Linked DNA regions of Canis lupus familiaris. The protein of the gene in region 1 purifies or fractionates together with the protein of each later gene. This does not show direct contact. Links are inferred from orthologs where the notes say so. Each region holds a gene or a part of one and is shown in the gene's direction. Other genes may lie near its edges. The genes, in order: NKAP, CSNK2B and DHX8.

Region 1 (6,818 bases):
AAGGGAGGGAAGGACAGAGATGCAGTCTGTTCAGGACCTCCACCCTCAGTACCTGCATGTGGGAAGTCATCACAGGTGCAGAGACCCTCTATGAGGAGAAGGGGGTTAAGCCACACATAAGGCACCCCCTGCCCTGGAGACTTGCAGCAGAATGATGATCCCATATGTCTGGCTTTGAAATTCAGAGGGGCATAAGTCCAGGGGAGCCAGAGGGCTATAGAAAAGTGAGGCTCCACTAGTAAAGGGCCTGCGCATAAACCCAGAGCCAGCACAGGGGTAAGTTTGGAAAGCACCCGGGCCTTACATGAAGGAGATTTATCAAATAATTTTAGAGTGTGGGCTGGAAGGGTAGGAATCTGTAGGAACTTTCTTCAGGACAAAAGCATCATCAGAGGAAGTAAAAAATACTTTGAGACCAATCAAAGTGAAAATATAACATTAAAAAAATCTTTAGGGCAGCCTGGGTGGCTCAGCGGTTTAGCGCCTGCCTTCTGCCCGGGGTGTGATCCTGAAGACCCGGGATCGATTCCCACGTCGGGCTCCCTGCATGGAACCTGCTTCTCCCTCTCTGCCTATGTCTCTGTCTCTGTCTCTGTCTCTGTCTCTGTGTGTGTGTCTCTCATGAATGAATGAATAAATAAGTAAATAAATAAATAAATCTTTTAAAAAATCTTTAGAACACAGCAAAAGCAAGTTCTAAGAGAGAAGTTTACAGCAATACAAGCCTACTTCAAGAAATAAAAATCTCCAATAAACAATCTAACCTTATACCTAGAGGAACTAGAAGAACAAACAAAGCCCAAAGTTAGTAGAAGGAAAGAAATAATAAAGATCAGAGTAGAAATAAATGAAATAGAGACTAAGGGGTGTTTGGGTGGCTCAGTGGTTGAGCATTTGTCTTTGGCTCAGGTGGTGAGTCCAGGGTCTTTGGACTGAGTCCCACATCAGGTTCCCCGCAGGGAGCCTGTTTCTCCCTCTGCCTGTCTCCAACTCTCTCTCTGTGTCTCTCATGAATAAAGAAATAAAATCTTAAAGAAATAGAGACTAAAAAAAACAATAAGGAAAGTAGTGAAATGAAGAGCTGGTTCTTTGAAAAAATAAACAAAATTTATAAACCTTTAGCCAGACTTGTCAAGAAAAAAAAAAGAGAGGGGACTCAGGTGAATGAAATCAGAAATGAAAGAGAAGTTACCAGTGACACCATGGGAACATAAAGGACTGTAAGAGAGTACTACAGAGAATTATATGCCCACAAATAGCACAATCTGGAAAAAAAATGGATAAATTCCTAGGAACATACAATCTTCCAAGACTGAATCAAGAATAAATAGAAAAGATGAACAGGCTGATTACTAATAATCAATGAAAGAATAATGAAATTGAATCTGTAGCCAAAAAACTCCTAACAAACAAAAGTCCAGGACCAGATGGCTTCACAGGTAAATTATACTAAATGTTCCTTTTTTATTGTTTTTTAGTATCATGCCAACCAGAGACGCTGGGGTATGGGTTTTATTATTGGAATCAAAGTGCATGCCTACCAGCCATCGGGCAGGTAGACCAAGCGCTGTTGCAAAGTTGGTTTTTATAGGCAGTAGACGTGAAAGTGTACAGCCTGGTGTCACAAAAGTTGGGTGTAGGTTTCCCATCCAAAACTTTCTTGTTAGAAATTTCTCCAAATCCCCATCCCAAATCATATAATTTCTCCTACTCAATTTAGTCCATAGCCCTCATCCAATGATTGACTGTTTTTACCTAGAAGATACCCAATAGTGTGGTCCACTTTTTCCATTTACATTATGTTAGCATCTTTCCCTTAAATTCTAAAAGAGGAGACTTCCAATAATCTATGGCATTAGTGTTCATGGTCTCATAAGTTGCTTTTTAGGAGGAAAAGCCCAAGAGGCCATCTGACTACTAGTAGACTGGATTCTGAATTTCCACAGCGAACTCATTGTACCCTCAAAAATTAAAGTTCGGGGCAGCCCAGGTGGCTCAGTGGTTTAGCGCCGCCTTCAGCCCAGGGTGTGATCCTGGAGACCTGGGTTCGAGTCCTGGGGCCAGCGTCAGGCTCCCGGCATGGAGCCTGCTTCTCTGTCTCTCTCTCTCTCCTCTCTGTGTCTCTCATGAATAAATAAATAAAATCTTAAAAAAAATTAAAGTCCGTAGAATTAATGTTCATATGTTATTTTATTTAAAAACAGTAGAAAATAGGGCGCCTGAGTGGCTCAGTCAGTTAAGCCTCCGCCTCCAGCTCAGGTCATGATCCCAGGATCCTGGGATTGGGGCATGGGATTGAGTCCCGAGGGGAGCCCCTGCTCAACTGGGAGTCTGTTTCTCCCTCTCTCTCTGACCATCCCTCCCTCTCTTTCTCTCTTTTAAATAAAAAAGATAAAAACAGTATAAAATGAATAGAATAAATAAGTATTAGCCATGTATTGCTGAGCTGCCTTATGATGGGACTCGTCTACAGGGCTGGACAAGTAGGGGCACATTAGCGGAGATGAATTTCTGGGGAATAAATAAGCAGTTTTCTCTGGGCCACAGACTTAACTGTGGTGTATCAGGCTCAAGTTATTAACAAAGAATTTGTGCCCTCTAAGTTAACTGGTCAAAATAGGGCTTAGACATCATAGCTCATCACCAGTTTTGATAGATGCTCCTTATTTTGTTTGAGATTAGAGAGAAAAAAATTATGGGGGCGCCTGGGTGGCTTAAGCCTCTGCCTCCAGCTCAGGTCATGATCTCAGGGTCCTGGGATGGAGCCCACCTTGGGCTGCTTCTCCCTCTCCCCTCGCCCCCTTGTGCTCCTGCCTGCGCTCTCTGAAATAAAAATCTTTAAAAAAATGCGTGTGGGGGTGGGTATGCTCCTACACACAGCGCCATACAAACACATATATAGAGAGAGTTACACTAACTTTTGTTATTCACACGGCCGCTGTGGCCTATCGCCCTTCCCTTCAGGTATTTCAATTGAACGCTGCAGAAAGGACAAGCTCCGCAGTCCGGGTTAGATGTGAGCAGCCTCACTCAGGACCGGAAGGATGAGTGGACCCGGTTGCCCCACGACCTCTTTATACCGCTACACCCATCACAGTCCCGTGGGTAGGACTACCTAGGTCGGGGGAAGGGATTTGCCGACGTACCCGGAACTGTTTCCAAGGTTTCCCCAGGTTAGGGTGGCGGCGCCACGGCGGGTCTGGGGACCTAAACCAACCGAGATCTCCCGAGGCTCGCGAGAGCGCCCGCTTCTCTAGCGGCTTAGGGGACCCAGTGCCTGTGATGGCTCCAGTGTCGGGTTCCCGCAGCCCAGAGAGGGAGGCCTCGGGCTCCGGGTCGAAGCGTCGCAGCTCGTCAAAGAGCCCTAAGCCCAGCAGATCCGCCCGCTCCCCGCGGGGCCGCCGCTCGCGCTCGAGCTCTCGCTCGCACTCCTGCTCTCGCTCTGGGGACCGGAATGGTCTCAGCCATCAGCTGGGTGGCTTCAGCCAAGGGTCCCGAAACCAGTCCTACCGATCCCGCTCCCGATCCCGCTCCCGGGAGCGGCCCTCTGCGCCGCGGGGTAACCCCTTCTTTTCTGCCTCCTCGACTGCGTATTATGGCGGCTACTCGCGTCCCTACGGAAGTGACAAGCCGTGGCCTAGCCTTCTGGACAAGGAGAGGGAGGAGAGCCTGCGGCAGAAGTGAGTGTGACGGGCACGCCTTCTCTTGCAGGAGCCCACCCGACTTCCGTGTCTGTCTCACCGTTCATCCCCCTTCAGACTATTCGGTTTTCACTCTCTGCCTCGCGCCGCTTTCAGCCCCACCCCTTTCCCTGTCAACGCCCCCCCCCCCCCCCACTTTCTATCCCTTCAGCCCCTCCAGCCTTCCCTGTCAACGCCGTTTTCAGCCCTTTTCTATCCCTTTGGTCCTACTCCCCCGCCCCCCGCAAGTTCTTCCCACCCTTTTCTGTCCCGTCGGACCCACCCCCCTACAAGACCTTTTCTCCCCTTTTCTATGCCTTCAGTCCCTCCCATGCCTTTTCCCACCTTTTTCTATCCCTTCTGTCCCCCTCAATGCCTTTTTCAACCCTTTTCTATGCCTTCGACCCCACTTCTCCCCCAACCTCTTCCCACCTTTTTCTATCCCTTCAGTCCGCCCCCTGCCCCCCCGCAATGCCTTTTCTAGCTATTTCTATCCCTTTGGACCCACTCCTTCCCAACCTGTTCCCACCTTTTTCTACCACTACCAGTCCCCCCATAACCTTTTTCCCCCTTTTCTATCCCTTCATTCCCCAACCACAACACCCTTTCCCCCCTCCTTTTCTAGCTCTTCAGTTCCCCCCATACCTATTTCAAACCTTTTCTATCTCTTTGGTCCCACTCCCCCTGCAACCTCTTCCCATCCTTTTTTCTATCCCTTCATTCCGCCCCAACACCTTTTCCCCCCCTTTTCTATCCCGTCAGTTCCCCCCCGCCGCCAATTCCTTTTTCAACACTTCTCTATGTGTTCAGTCACACTCGCCCTCCAACCTCTTCCCATCCTTTTCTACCCCTTCAGTCCCCCCCATAACCTCTTTTTCTCCCTTTTCTATCTCTTCAGTCACTTTCCACAGCACCTTTTCCTCCCTTTTCAATCCCTTCATTCTCCACCACAAAACGTTTCCCCCCTTTTCTATCCCTTCAATCCCCCCAATGCCTTTTTCCACGCTTTTGTATCCCTTTGGTCCCACTCCCCCTTCAACCTTTCCCACCCTTTTCTATCCCCTTCAGTCCCCTTCCAGTGTCTTTTTCCACATGTTTCTATGCCCTCAGTCCCTCTCCCCAACTAACTTCTTCCCACTCATTGCTATCCCTGTAATCCCACCCCTCCACAACACCTTTTTCTGCACTTTTCTGTCCTTCAGTCCCCCTCCAATGTCTTTTTCCACTGTTTTCTATGCCTTCGGTCCCTCCCCTCCCACTCTTTGCTATCCCTTCAGTACCTCCCAACACCTTTTCTTCCCTTTGCTATCTATCCCTTCTGTCACCCGCCAATGTCTTTTTCCATGCTTTTCTATGCCTTCAGTGCCTCTCCCCCCTCAACCTCTTCCCCCCTCCACTTTTCTGTCCCTTTAGTCCCCCTTTTACCCACTTTTCTAACCCTTTTACTCCCCCCAGTGCTTTTTTCCATTTTCCAATGCATTCCAAAAATGCATGTTTTCTATCCTTTTGGTCACACTCCCTCTTTTTTTTTAATAATAAATTTATTTTTTATTGGTGTTCAATTTGCCAACATACAGAATAACACCCAGTGCTCATCCCGTCAAGTGCCCCCCTCAGTGCTCGCCACCCAGTCACCCCCACCCCCTGCCCTCCTCCCCTTCCACCACCCCTAGTTCGTTTCCCAGAGTTAGGAGTCTTCCATGTTCTGTCTCCCTTTCTGATATTTCCTACCCATTTCTTCTCCCTTCCCCTCTATTCCCTTTCACTATTATTTATATTCCCCAAATGAATGAGGCCATATAATGTTTGTCCTTCTCCGATTGACTTATTTCACTCAGCATAATACCCTCCAGTTCCATCCACGTTGAAGCAAATGGTGGGTATTTGTCGTTTCTAATGGCTGAGTAATATTCCATTGTATACATAGACCACAGCTTCTTTATCCATTCATCTTTCGATGGACACCGAGGCTCCTTCCACAGTTTGGCTGTTGTGGACATTGCTGCTAGAAACATCGGGGTGCAGGTGTCCCGGCATTTCATTGCATCTGTATCTTTGGGGTAAATCCCCAGCAGTGCAATTGCTGGGTCGTAGGGCAGGTCTATTTTTAACTCTTTGAGGAACCTCCACACAATTTTCCAGAGTAGCTGCACCATTTCACATTCCCACCAACAGTGCAAGAGGGTTCCCTTTTCTCCGCATCCTCTCCAACATTTGGTCACACTCCCTCTTAACCTCTTCCCACCCTTTTCTGTCGCTTCAGTCTTCCCCCAACACCCTTTTCCATCCCTTCAGTCCCCCTCAATGTCTCTTTCCACCCTCTTCTGTGTCATTGGACCCACTCTCCCACCAGTCTCTTCCCACCCTTTTCTATCCCTTCAGTCCCCCTAATGCCTTTTTCCACCCTTTTCTATACCTGTAGTCCCACTCTACCCCCCAACCTCTTCCCACTCTTTTTTATCCCTAAGTCCCTCCTACAACACCTTTCTCTTTTTTCAATCCCCTCAGTCCCCCCAATCCCTTTTTCTACTCTTTTCAATCCCTTCAGCCCCCCAACACTTTTTCCCCGTTTTCTATCCTTCAGTCCCCCCAGTGCCTTTTGCAACCCCTTTCTATGCCTTTGGTCATACCCTCCGCCCCCAGTCTCTTCCCACGCTTTTCTCTCCCTTCCTTCCCCTCACACACCTTTTTCCCTCTTTTCTCTCCTTTCAGCCTCCCCCAATCCTTCCCCCCCTTTTTTATCCCTTCAGTTCCCCTCAGTGCCTTTTCCACCCTTTTCTATGCCTTTAGTCCCCACTTGCCTTTTTCCATCCCATTCCATCCCTTCAGTCTCCCTCAATACCTTTTCTGCCTTTTCTATCCCTTAAGTCCCTCTCCCAATGCCTTTTCCTACCCTTTTCTATCCCTTAGTTTCCACTCCTCCTCCGCAACCTTTTCCCAGTCTTTTCTACCCCTTCAGTCTCCACCCCACAACCTCTTGTTCCTCCTTTTCTCCTCCTTCAGTCCCACCCCCCTGCCTGCAGTGCCTTTTTCGACCCTTTTCCATCCCATAGGTCCCCTCCACACACAATGCCTTTTTCCACCCCTCTCGTCCCTTGGGTTTTCCCTCCTCCTCCTCTTCCTCGAGTGGCTTCATAG
Region 2 (6,796 bases), on another chromosome or scaffold:
CCTTCTAGCCTTTCTGCTAAGAAAGAAATTGCCTTCCAACCCACTTAGCAATGAGGGACCCAGAGGGGAACAGCTAGAAGAAATAGCAACCAGGCTTCACAAGATCTTGGGCAAGGCATAATAACTACAATTTATATATATATTTATATATGTATATTTATATATATATAGTTTAAAAAAATTTTTTTTTTTTTTTATGATAGTCACAGAGAGAAAGAGAGAGAGAGAGAGGCAGAGACATAAGCAGGCTCCATGCACCGGGAGCCCGATGTGGGATCCGATCCCGGGTCTCCAGGATCGCGCCCTGCGCCACCAGGGATCCCCTATATATATGTATATAGTTAATCCCCTATATATATATATTAACTATATATATATATATATGGTAAACCGTCATCCTAACACTTTACATATATTGACCCATTAAATCCTCACAATTCTTTAACAGGTGCTCTTGTTACCCCCCATTTCTCAGATAAGGAAAATGAGGCACATAAAAATTAGGTTGCTTGACCAAGTAAGTAGAATCAGAATTTAAACCCAGGGAGCTGGGACACCTGGGTGGCTCAGCGGTTGAGCGCCTGCCTTTGGCCCAGGGTGTGATCCTGGAGACCTTGGATGAGTTCCACATCGGGCTCCCTGCAGGGAGCCTGCTTCTCCCTCTGCCTCTCTCTCTCTCTCTGTGTCTCTCATGAATAAATAAATAAAAATCTTAAAAAAACACACACACAAAAAAAACAGGGAGCTCACATTTACTACTACTCGATTCCATTGCCATATCAACCTACACTGGGGATCAGGGAGAGAATCTTTGAGTCTGTTCCGGAGCCTCTGGCATGGAGGGACTAGGAAGGGCAGAACACACTGAAAGATGGGCATGGGTTAAGGCTTCCTCTCACCGGTTCTCTGGATTCCTCGTCTCTCCGTGGCTCTCTCGGACCATGCGCGCCACCTCAGGAAAACCCGCTTCTTCAGCCAGCTGAGCAGCATCCTTGCCACCCAGCTCACAGACACCCACCCAGGCAGCTCCACGGCCCAGGAGATAGCGCACAGCAGCCCCCTGGCCTGCTCGAGCAGCACACATCAGGGGGGTCCACCAGAAGGCATCCCGAGCATTGATATTGCCCCCCGCTCCCCCTGCCTCGTGGGGATCCAAGAGCCTTCTTAGTTCTGCTAGGTCACCCTCCTGGGCTGCCCTCAGTATCCAATGGGTCATCTTGTCCTCTGCCTCAAGGGATCTCCTTTGTCCATGTCCTGCTGAGGCTCCTACAGCAGCTTCCCCCATCATTCTTCTCTTCTTCCTCTTTCTTTTCCTGTCAGGTTCAGGCTGAGATCTCTGGGATGCAGGGATGCTGCTCTCTTCTGCAATCAGGGCCTCATAGAAAGCCCGGGCTGCAGCCCCATTCAGGGTGGGCTCCAGCTCTTCAGGCTGTGACTGCTGCTGCCCATCTTTCCAGAGGTCACTGGGGTTGGTGGCCGGGGTGAAGGTGATGAGGGAGGGCCTGGACATGGCTTTTGGGAGAACTGAGACAATGAGACTAATTAAAGGGCGTATGAGACAAGCAAGCCAATCCCTTGGTGGCTCTGCACTGACCAGAACCACCTCCACAGATCTGCTGGGATGAGGAAAAGTAGCCTTTTCCAAGTCAAAAACCCGTCTTATACTCTAAGTGACCCCACAACCTAGGACCCTACAGGGCCTAAGGACCATAGGTCATGTGGAAAAACAGGGAGCCATACAATAACAGCCCATATCCCTCGTAAAGGTTAACTTAACAAAGATTTAATGAGAATTGCCCAGAGGCCCATCCCTATCCTCACCAATAAGTAAAAACAGCTTCTCTCTCAAACTACTTGATCACCAGGTAAGACGTGCAGTTAAGAAAACAATCAGCCTAGCCCTTTAAATCTTCCTTGATCCTATGTCAGGGTAGGGTCTTTCCAAACAAAAACAGACTTTTAACCTTCTCCGGATGCAAGAAGAAGATTTGGGGGAGAAACTCCAGTCTCTGTGGAGACCCCACAGGGTCTCTGTACCACAAAAATTTTATCTAAGCAAAGGTGCTGCCAGTCCAATAGCCACACGACCCAGACACACATGTGTGACTGAAAAAAAAATCAACCACCACAAAGCAGAACTTGAGGGTGCGGGCGTGTGCGAAGCGCCAGGCTGAGCCTTCGCACGGTGGGACCCTCCAGGATGCCACGTGCCCAGGCAGCGCGAGGACAGAGGCTCTGTCGGTTGGGGTCCTACTTCTACATAACGCCCCACAATGCCCTTCGCCTCCCGGAACGTGGCCCCCCACTCCGAGCGCAGTTTTTGGACCTGCGAAACCACCGAGTTAAGGAGGGCTCTGAGAAGGCGGGAGGAAACCTGTGGAATGCCCCGAAGCCGTGAAGTGAAATAACGTCACGCCACCCCTCACCATTATTCTGAGCAGGGTTCGAAGGTCACACTTAGTGCCCGCAGCAGAAGGCCCCATTCAAGCTCTGAGAGGAGATGGAAAAGTGCAAGGGGACGAGCAGCAGAATGGCTGGCGCCACTTCAGGTTAGCGCACAGGCCGTCCCAATTCTCACACCGCTCACCTCAGCCCAGCCCACTCTTCCCACGTCCCGCAAGCAAGGAGCCCGGCCTCACCTCCCGCCTGAGGAGACTAGACCCCGGGGTGAAGCACCGGCCCGGGTGGGGCCTCCAGTGGCGGGCCTGACTCTGGCGAGAGGCTCCGCAGGCAACAAGGACCCGGTGGGGTAGTCGGGGACGAGGTCAGCACCCTGGGCTGCCGGCAAACACCTGGGGCAGAGCCTCGCTGTGTGAGGGGAGTTGCAGGAATCCAGCCCTCCAGCCCCGTTCCTTCCCCGCCCCCTCCCGGCCCCTCAGTTGCGCGACCCTACGACTCTATTTCCCATACTCCCTGGCCCAGAACGGGGTACTGCGCTTCCGCTTCCGGTGGTATCCCGCTGCTCCCCACCCCCGAGCGTCTTGTTCCTGGGCCTCGCGACGCCAGGGTCGTTCGTGGGTCATCCTGGGATTCGTAGTTCGCCTGTTCTTCGCTTCGCCAGTTTCTCTTTACCTGGGACTCCATTTCCCGGCGTTCACTGCGGCGCCCGACCCTTGGCGCTTGCGCGTTGCCCTCTCCCCACCCTCCCCAATTTCCACACACACCGCCCCCCGCCCCCCCCCCCTCGCTACTTCGCCTGCCGCGGTCGGGTCCGCGGCCTGCGCTGTAGCCGTCGCGGTTCTTTGGAAGCAGCAACTCCCCTCCCCCACCCCGGTCCCGGTCCCGGTCCCCGCCCAGCCGGTGAGTCTGAGGTCGTTGCCGCATCGAGTCTTCCGTCCTTAGGCGCGGCACATGGGGTCTCCGCGCGTTGGTGTGGGGGTGGGGAAGGAAGTGACCCGGTCCGGCACCGGGGGAGGGAGGGTTGGCCTGAGAGGCGGGGTGTGGGGACTCCTGTGAGAGGGACCCAGGGCCACCTCCAGGTCGTGAGGGGAAAGGGTCCTGGCTTTTGCTTGGAAAGGATAAACTTCGGAACCCTTGGGAAAGGTGTCGGGGACATGCGGAGACCTGCGGGGTAGGGATCTCGAGCCGAGAGCCCTGCGAGGGAGGGACTTGACGTAAAGAGGAGAGGGTGCTGGTTTTCGGGATTGTTAGGGGTGTGGGTAGGACGGGTGAGCCTAGACCTGTCGGTTTTTCAGAAGTGGTGGGACTCCAAAGAGCCTCTAGTGAATAAGAGGAATTGGAGGCAGGTGCGCCAGGGTCTAGGATCCTTTAAGAAAAGGGGGCTCCAAATTCTTCCATGGTCGGGGAGCAGAGTGTGGGGAGGAGGGAAGGTACCAGAGACAGGGTGGGGGAGCTTGGCCTTTGTTTACCCTCTTTTTTTTTTTTTTCCCAGCTGACGTGAAGATGAGCAGCTCAGAGGAGGTGTCTTGGATATCCTGGTTCTGTGGGCTCCGTGGCAATGAATTCTTTTGTGAAGTGAGTTCTCAATCTCCCAGCTATGTCCGCACAAAGTTTGGCTGTATGTTTTTCCACATATTTAGCTTCTACTTCTCTTACAGGCTGTCATAGAAACTTTTTCCTGTCAAGGAAGAGTCCCTTCAGTAACTCCCCTCACTAATTTGTGAAGTGGCAAGACTTGCCCATCCCAAGCCTGTTACTGTCCAGCGGTGTAATATTGGAAAAGTCAACTTTATTACTACTACTACTACTACTGTTATTCTTATTATTATTGCTAGGCTTGTACTAGTAGTGCTTAATTTGGGAGCCTATTAGGATTAAAATGCCGTTTATCAAAATGTTTTGTAACAGGCAAAGTTTTGTGCTAATGATATAATGGATTATAACTGCCCACAGGACCCAAGCTGTTTAGTCGCTGCTTTTCTTAGAGTTCTAGCTGCCGGTAAGGAGAGGACAAAACTGGTCTGTAGAGATGGGATCAAGAATAGGAACAGGGATTTTAAAAGGAGTGTCTCGTTAAGGAAGAGATTGTTGTAGCTGCTTATCCTTAGGAAAGAAAAGCCAGAGCTTTTATGGGAAGGCAGTGTATGTGAACTGGGGAGAGAGACTCAAGGATTTCTGCTGAGTTGGTGTGGGGAATTAGGGAAAACAGAAGCAGTTGTGTTGGAAACAAGGCACCAATTAGAGCAATGTGCCCAGATCAAAGCTGAGGATTCTGCTATGGGTTTCTTCTTGACTTCCACATCCTGACAGGTGGATGAAGACTACATCCAGGATAAATTCAATCTCACTGGACTCAATGAGCAGGTGCCTCACTATCGACAAGCTCTAGACATGATCTTGGACCTGGAGCCTGGTGAGGCATCCTCGGGGTTATCTTTGTGTGTGTGTGTGTGTGTGTGTGGTTTTTCTTTTTTCTCCCAAATTCCTGTTGATCTGCTTCTTGAATTTCTAAATTTCCTTTTGGTTCTCTGATTGCTTTTGTCCTAAGTTCTGTACTTTATTTTGCTCTCTCATCTGACTTTTGCCTGGATTTGTGACAGCCTCATTCTACACTCTGATCCTGTAACTTGGCTCTCTCCCTTAATGTTAGTTTCCTCATGGATCTCATTTCCTGCTTACCTGTCTTGCCTTGCACCTTTCAGTCTAGAGTTCCAGCTTCTATGTTGATCTTTTTCATTTATGTGTTGAGAGAGTTGGGAGGGAGAGAAGAGAGTAAAGGCTGAAGAGGTATAGAGAGAAGGCAGAGCTGCCTTGGGTGGGTGGGTGGAAGGGCCAGAGGCCCAGGTTTCTGGGTCAAATGCCCAGGTGATGGGTGGCGCAAAGATGAGTAGCCAGCAGCCCCTGGAGGTGGATGGGGCACCTAAGAAAGCTGTAAGACAAGTGATTGCAATTGGCTGCGGCCATGTTTCAGATGAAGAGCTGGAAGACAACCCCAACCAGAGCGACCTGATTGAGCAGGCAGCCGAGATGCTTTATGGATTGATCCACGCCCGCTATATCCTCACCAACCGTGGCATCGCCCAGATGGTGAGGCCTCTCTGCTCCCACTTGACTCCTCTGAGGTAGTAAGGGAAACAGGTTCTTGCAGCAAGGAGTCACGTTTTCAAACTTGTCACAGATTATAGCTAAGAAGAGGGGAAGAGGGCGCCTGGGTGGCTCAGAGGCTGAGCGTCTGCCTTCGGCTCAGGTTGTGATCCTGGGGTCCTGGGATTGAGTCCCGCATTGGGCTCCCCGCAGGGAACCTGCCTCTTCTCTTGCCTGTGTCTGTCTCTCTTTCTGTCTCTCGTGAATAAATAAAATCTTTAAGAAAAAAAAAAGGAGGGGGAAGAACCCCAGAACCTGGGCCTGGGGATTAAATCCTAATTGGGGTTGTGCTGACTGAGGTATTTTCAGGGAGGGAGACGTGACCTTGGACAGGAATTTTTTGCAGTCTGCCTCTTCCTCAGGGAACAAACAGCAAATGGCTCTGATGGTCTGTAACTTGCCTACCTGGAGAAAAGGAAGCAGGGGAGTAGGAGGGCCCATCTGGCCAGCTTAAAATGGGCATCTGGACGGAAGGAGGCAGGAGTGGAGGACAGAGCAATGTGGGTTGGACTGAGGAGGGGATTGCCTCTTCTTTTCATACCTACCCACCGGCCCCTTTCATTTTATTCACCTCAGTTGGAAAAGTACCAGCAGGGAGACTTTGGCTACTGTCCCCGTGTGTACTGTGAGAACCAGCCAATGCTTCCCATCGGTGAGTGTTGGAGAAGGGAAAGGAGGCCTCATGAAATGGCCAGTCCTCTGGGAAGGAAATGGGGCTCAGCAAGTCTGAGCCTGAGTCTGGGAGGGTGGTGGGGCAGGCTCGGGGGTGCCTGGCCTGCTGAGTCTAGCTGTCTCCCAGGCCTTTCGGACATCCCAGGTGAGGCCATGGTGAAGCTCTACTGCCCCAAGTGCATGGACGTGTACACACCCAAGTCATCGAGGCACCATCACACGGATGGCGCCTACTTCGGCACCGGTTTCCCTCACATGCTCTTCATGGTGCACCCCGAGTACCGGCCCAAGCGGCCCGCGAACCAGTTTGTGCCCAGGTGGGGAGCAGGGATAGAGTTACCCAGGGTCAAAGGAAAGGTTTGGGATTCCCCAGAGAGAAGGGAGGACAGGGCATGGTCCTTTCTTGAGGTTTGCTTCTCCCAGAGCGAGTAACCTTGGGGAAGGTGTTTGCCTGCCTGTGCCTCAGTTCCCTTATCCATGAAATGGGGGTGATGACAGTACTTGACTGACAGGGCACATTTAAGTAGTGTGGTGCTTCGAATCATATTGGCACTTGAAGTCACCATTCAAATGATAACTG
Region 3 (6,044 bases), on another chromosome or scaffold:
AAGTAATCTCTTTTCTTTTTTTTTTTTAAGATTTTATTTATTTATTCATGATAGTCACACAGAGAGAGACAGAGAGGCAGAGACACAGGCAGAGGGAGAAGCAGGCTCCATGCTGGGAGCCCGACGTGGGATTCGATCCCGGGTCTCCAGGATCGCGCCCCGGGCCAAAGGCAGGCGCCAAACCGCTGCGCCACCCAGGGATCCCTGTATTTAAGTAATCTCTATGCCCAATGTGGATCTTGAACTCACGAACCTGAGATCAGGAGTCTCATGCTCTTCCGACTGAGCCAGCCAGGCACCCCTGACACCAGTTATGATGTGTTTTTTTCCAGTATTGCTAAGCAGTGCTATGACACTAACTGGTACTACATTGAACTGTGGTTTGATACTGTCTTCCTGAAAATAGCATCAGATGCCCCAGGTTAAAGACTCAGACATGTAATACTGCCCCACCCCAAACTTCAGTTGCTATTTGCAAGATCAGGTTGTCAACTTGTGCTGACTCAAGTCACTGTAGATCAGAGGTTCCAATGACCCTCCCCCCTCCTTGGGTTTGATTAATTTGCTAGAGCAGCTAACATTTTACTTCCTAGATTACCGGCTTATTATAAAAGGATATAACTCAGGGACAACCAAATGGAAGAGAGACGTAGGGCAAAGTATGTGGGAAAGATTGAGGAGCTTCCATGCTCTCTGAATGCCCCACTATCCTCAAATCTCCATATGTTCACCTACCTAGAAGCTGACCAAACCCAGTCCTTTTGGGTGTTTGTGGAGGCTTTGTTATAATAGGGATAATTGAAAAAAAACTGGCATAGTTGATTAAATCCTTGGCCATTGGTCAGCGAACTCCATCTCCAGCCCCTTCCCCCTCTCCAGAGGTCAGGGGTAGGGCTGAAAGTTCCAGTCTGTAATCTGCTAGTTGGTTTCCCTGGCAGCCAGCCTCCAGCCTCACCCTTATATAGGGGCTTTCCTAAAGTCATCTCCTTAATGTAACAAAAGACCTTTTTCACTCTCTGCACTGCAGAAATTCCAAGTTTTAGGAGTGCTGTGCCTGGAAAGGGGATGAAGACCAAACACATATTTCTTCTTACAATAAATCACAATATCACAGTGTTGAACATAGAATTATAAAATCAGTAATGTTAAAATTACTAAAGTTGGAAAAATGTGATAGTATTGTTCTGTTGAAACGAAATTGCCAAAGTGGATTTAATAACAAAAAGGTATATATTTGCTACTTTTTTTTTTAAGATTTTATTTATTTATTCATGAAAGACACAGAGAGGCAGAGACATAGGCAGAGGGAGAAGCAGGCTCCATGCAGGGAGCCTGATGTGGGACTTGATCCTAGTACTCCAGGATCATGCCCTGGGCTGAAGGGAGGTGCTCAACCACTGAGCCACCCAGGCGTCCCTATATTTGCTACTTTTATATTTTATTTATTGACTTCATTCTTTTGATTTTGGTCTTAATATGTTATCTTTTTAAAATTAAATTTTTTTTTAAGGGAAATAAGAGGCAGAGGGGAGGGAGAAGAGACTAAAGAAGCAGGCTCCACACCCCCACGTGGAGCCTGACAGGGCTTGATCTCACCACCCTGAGATCATGACCTGAGCCAAAATCAGGAGTCAGATGGTTAACCCGAATGAGTCACCGAGGCACCCTGATGTATTATCATTTACATCGGTGTCATTATTGTCCCTGCTTTTCAGCATTGAACTTGTTTTTAATCACTAATTGATCTTTGGGGCACCTGGCTAGCTCAGTTGGTAGAGCTGTGTGACTCTTGATGTCCAGGTCATGATTTCTAGCCCCACGTTGGGTGTAGAGCTCGCTTAAAAAAAATCTGACTCACTAATTCATCTTTGATAGTTCAGTTAATTTAATGATGTCCCCTTATAATTCTGAAAATTTAAAAAAACCCTGATTAATGACAGCTGCAGTATGAATGTGCTGCTGATTGCTTTGGAATAGTCTCTTGAGGGGCACCTGGGTGGCTCAGTGGTTGAGTGTCTGCTTTTGGCACAGGGTGTGATCCCGGGGTCCTGGGATCGAGTCCTACATCAGGCTCTCCGCAAGGAGCCTGCTTCTCCCTCTGCCTATATCTCTGCCTGTCTCTCTGTATCTCTCATGAATAAATAAATAAAATCTTAAAAAAAAATAAAATCCAGATGAAATCAGTAACCATTTTCTTGTGGGGTTCACCATGTGAGGCTTATCTCAGCCCTCATAAAATGCACTTCTCTCCCAAAAGTCTCTTAATAAATAGCTCAAATATTAGAAATTTCAGACACTGGGCAGGTTTGTAGAGAAAAATCTGGGGGGCAAGTGAGTCTTTGATCCACTTGGAGATTGTACCATCCAGCAGCTGCCTGGCTCTCGTAGATGGATTGGGTCAGACCTACCTGAAACTGTAGAAAGCATCCTACTGTGTGCATCCATGGCAGTGGGAGGGAGAGGGCTCTTGCTTTTGGGCATTGATACCTCTGGAGTCTGTATGGCAATGCACACAGGTAGTAGTCTCATGAGAAGAGTACGATGATCTGGGACAGGGAGATATTTCTCCCTTAGATGCACTGAAGGGCCCACTGAGCCTTTCTGTATTAATATCTTTGCATTTCGAAAAATTAACTGGAACATACATAGATAATCTTGGTACTCTAAATTCTCTTATTTGACTCTCACTTGATGGGACTCTTTGGTTTTTATGACTGGTAGATAGGCTAATTGGTTTTGCTTTTAATGTACTTGAAAGTAATTTTTTGCTTGTCTTCACTCCAGTTTTAATTCCTTTTCTCCTCTGCAGCTGAATTCGTGATCAGTCTGGCTGAGAAAAATACCACCTTTGATACTTTTAAGGCTTCTCTGGTCAAAAATGGTGCTGAATTCACGGTATGTGTTCTTGGAGACCCCGGTTTCGTTTTAATGTCACTATTGAATTTAAATTTTGATAGGATTTCACATAGGATTTTGATGGAAAAGGGAGATAATTTGTACATACCAATCAAAGAAACCATTAAGTGTGTAATGTTTCATGCCACTGAGCAGTGGTAATATAACCGGATTTCCTGTGACACTTTTCTAGGAAAATGGGGCAGGATTTCCATCGTTAAGCCTTTTATGAGTGTTTATATTCTTGTTCTATGAAGTCAAAAACAAAAGAGTCTAGGTTTTGGAGGTAGTTCTAAATGGTGGAAAATAAAAACGGTTGACTGGAACTAAATTACTTTCCCCTCCCCCAAAGAGTCCTAAATATTAGCTTTCTCTGAAGCTACTTTGCTAGGTTCATGCCTATCAAGTTGAAACTCTGTGTTTCATTGTTTCAGTTGCCTCCATTCAGGTAACAATCACCTTTTCTTAGTTGGTTTTTTTTTTTTTTTTAAAGATGTATTTATTTTAGAGAGCACTTGAGCTGTGTGTGTGTTGGGGGTGGGGTGGGCAGGAGAGGGCCCCCAGGGTTAGAGAGAGAGAGAGTCTTAACCCTGTGTTGAGCATGGAGCCCAGCATGGGGCTCAGTCTCTCAACCTTGAGATCATGACCTGAGTGGAATCAAGAGTCAGGTACCACCCAGGTGCCCCTTTTTAAAGTGTTTTTAAGCACTGATTTAAGGGTTGATAATTTTTGTTCTGTTTCTTTTCAAAGGATTCTCTTATTAGTAACTTGCTGCGCCTCATACAAACCATGCGGCCTCCAGCAAAGCCTTCTACTAGCAAAGGTGAGTAGAACATCTGGCTGTGCCTAGCCTCCAGAATGGTTTAGAATGTGAGCATCCTGTAGACTGTGTTCCTTTTTTTTTTTTTTTTAAGATTATTTATTTATTCATGAGAGTCACAGAGAGAGGGCAGAGACAGAAGCAGAGGGAGAAGCAGGCCCCCCACAAGGAGCCTGATGCAGGACTTGATCGACCCCAGGATCACACCCTGAGCCGAAGGCAGACACTCAACTGCTGAGCCACCTAGGTGTCCCTGTAGATTGTGTTCTTTCTCTAGCAGCTGCTGGGCCAAGTATACAATCTAGTAAAATTTTCCAAATGATTTAAAATTAAACTCATGAATTCTGATGTATCCCCTCCACACCCCCCACCACATGTGCAGATAGTTTGTTGAGGGTTTTGTCATCAGTGTTATTTTTAGGAAATTAAATTATGTTTATAGTAATGTGTATGAATAATATGTAGAAAAATGTCATGTTCAGTTTTTAGTTGGATGCAAATCTGATATTGAGGTTCTTTGTTTAAAATATTAAATCTTTTTTTTTTTTTTTTTAACTTCTTTATCTTTGATGAAAACAAGATCCAGTTGTTAAACCCAAAACCGGAAAAGAAAAGCTAAAGGAACTCTTCCCGGTCCTTTGCCAACCAGACAACCCTTCTGTCCGGGTACTGATCCCATTTTGAGAATCTCTGCTATCACTGGGTATTTCTCCTCCGTGTCCCTTTGCTTTGTCTCATTAGTTCCTAGTTTTAAGTTTATGTTCATTATATTTTTCAAACTAAAAGTGTTGGGCTGTTCTCTGAGCATGTACTATGTTCAGAGAATGATGTTTCAGGGAAGTGGTGTTGAGAATTGTGGGAAGCCATAATTAGGGATATGGAATAAGTATGAGACAGCTTAAGGTACTAGAACAGATACCTGATATGTGAAATTAGATTTTTTTTCTCTATTACATGTTAAAGGGTCTAATTTTTTAAGTGTTTTGATTTTTATTTAGCAAAATTATTTATTTATTTATTTGGCTAGTGTTCTTCTTTCATACCTGTGATGAGCAGAATTTCTTTTATCACTGGGGATTTTCACATATTATTTTTTAAGATTTTATTAATTTGAGAGAGAGCTAGTGCACTAGCCAGGGGAAGAGCAGAGGAAGAGGGAGAAACAGACTCCCTGCTGAGCAGGGAGCCCAATGTTGGGCTTGCTCCCGGGACCCTGAGTTCTGACCTGAGCTGAAGGCAGATGCTTTAACTGACTGAACCACCCAGGCACCCCTTAACATTTATTTTCAATTTATAATCATCACACAATGCTTTAACAGGAGAGGTGATAGCTAATTGCCCTCTGTGAGCTTGTATGAAGGCAAAGGGAAATTTGCTAAATGTAGCAGTGACTTCTAAGAGCCTTTGCGCATTCCTTCCGCCTCTCTCTCAAATTGTGTTGGAAATTTCCACCTGCTTCTGCTTCCTTCCCATACGTGGTTAGTGATATAGGGGCTGTCAGGTTTGTAGATGGACCTAGAGTGCAGATTCTCACATGATCATCTTCTCTCCTTCTAACTTTGCTGGCCTCTGCTGTTGTAGACCATGCTGGATGAAGATGATGTGAAAGTTGCTGTGGATGTCCTGAAAGAACTGGAGGCCTTAATGCCCAGTGCAGCGGGCCAGGAGAAGCAAAGAGATGCTGAGCACCGGTTTGTCCTTAGTGTCTTATCCTTTGGAGGTTTAGGGTACTGTAATAGTTGAATTTTGTGGACCAGCTAAGCAAAATTTTGGGCAAGTTTACAGAATCTAGGCTGGCCATGTACCACATAGTTAGATGTATTTCATTGTTCCCTGCAAAGAGTACTTAGGCAGGAGATGCCAAGTCATTCATAAGATAGAAATCTGGCTTGAAAGAGGCTGAATATGTTTGTGACCTCATCTTTTACTGGCCTGTGGGGGTTGTTGTAGTTAGGGAAACTCATTCAGTTCCACACTTAGTAGGTACCTGATGTGTGTGGCACTGTGCTAGGTGCTTGGGGATGCAGAAATGAAACTGCACTGGTGTCTTTTTCAAATAGTTGTTTGTTGATTTGTTAGGGACAAGGCAAAGAAGAAGAAGCGGAGCCGAAGCCGCGACCGTGACCGAGAGCGGGAGCGAGACCGTGATAGAGAACACAAGAGGAGACACCGGTCCCGCTCTCGGTCGCGTTCCAGGACCCGGGAAAGGAATAAAGGGAAGTCGAGGTATCGGTCCAGGAGCAGAAGTCAGAGTCCCCCCAAAGACAGGAAGGACCGGGACAAGTATGGGGAGAGGAACCTGGACAGATGGCGGGATAAGCATGTGGAC

Evidence for each region.
Region 2: the proteins of NKAP (region 1) and CSNK2B purify together in Homo sapiens (co-immunoprecipitation; 3 studies listed by BioGRID and IntAct, counting the BioPlex papers as one, with this or other methods). This does not show direct contact. The link is inferred for Canis lupus familiaris from reciprocal best matches to the Homo sapiens genes NKAP and CSNK2B.
Region 3: the proteins of NKAP (region 1) and DHX8 purify together in Homo sapiens (co-immunoprecipitation; 3 studies listed by BioGRID and IntAct, with this or other methods). This does not show direct contact. The link is inferred for Canis lupus familiaris from reciprocal best matches to the Homo sapiens genes NKAP and DHX8.

Annotation. Positions count from the first base shown.
Region 1 is NC_049260.1:92,632,099-92,638,916, reverse strand, and holds the start of NKAP (NF-kappa-B-activating protein), read left to right. Parts: upstream 1-3,133; 5' UTR 3,134-3,282; coding exon 3,283-3,680; intron 3,681-6,818. UniProt on the Homo sapiens protein: Acts as a transcriptional repressor. Plays a role as a transcriptional corepressor of the Notch-mediated signaling required for T-cell development. Also involved in the TNF and IL-1 induced NF-kappa-B activation.
Region 2 is NC_049233.1:1,285,708-1,292,503, forward strand, and holds the start of CSNK2B (casein kinase II subunit beta), read left to right. Parts: upstream 1-2,410; 5' UTR 2,411-2,500; coding exon 2,501-2,549; exon of another isoform or gene 2,550-2,628; intron 2,629-2,639; exon of another isoform or gene 2,640-3,047; intron 3,048-3,147; exon of another isoform or gene 3,148-3,300; intron 3,301-3,423; exon of another isoform or gene 3,424-3,571; intron 3,572-3,892; coding exon 3,893-3,975; intron 3,976-4,710; coding exon 4,711-4,813; intron 4,814-5,371; coding exon 5,372-5,487; intron 5,488-6,120; coding exon 6,121-6,196; intron 6,197-6,343; coding exon 6,344-6,533; intron 6,534-6,796. Other genes in the region: GPANK1 (G patch domain and ankyrin repeat-containing protein 1), read right to left, coding at 900-1,510. UniProt on the Homo sapiens protein: Regulatory subunit of casein kinase II/CK2.
Region 3 is NC_049230.1:19,634,681-19,640,724, reverse strand, and holds part of DHX8 (ATP-dependent RNA helicase DHX8), read left to right. Parts: intron 1-2,809; coding exon 2,810-2,895; intron 2,896-3,645; coding exon 3,646-3,718; intron 3,719-4,295; coding exon 4,296-4,381; intron 4,382-5,296; coding exon 5,297-5,406; intron 5,407-5,794; coding exon 5,795-6,044.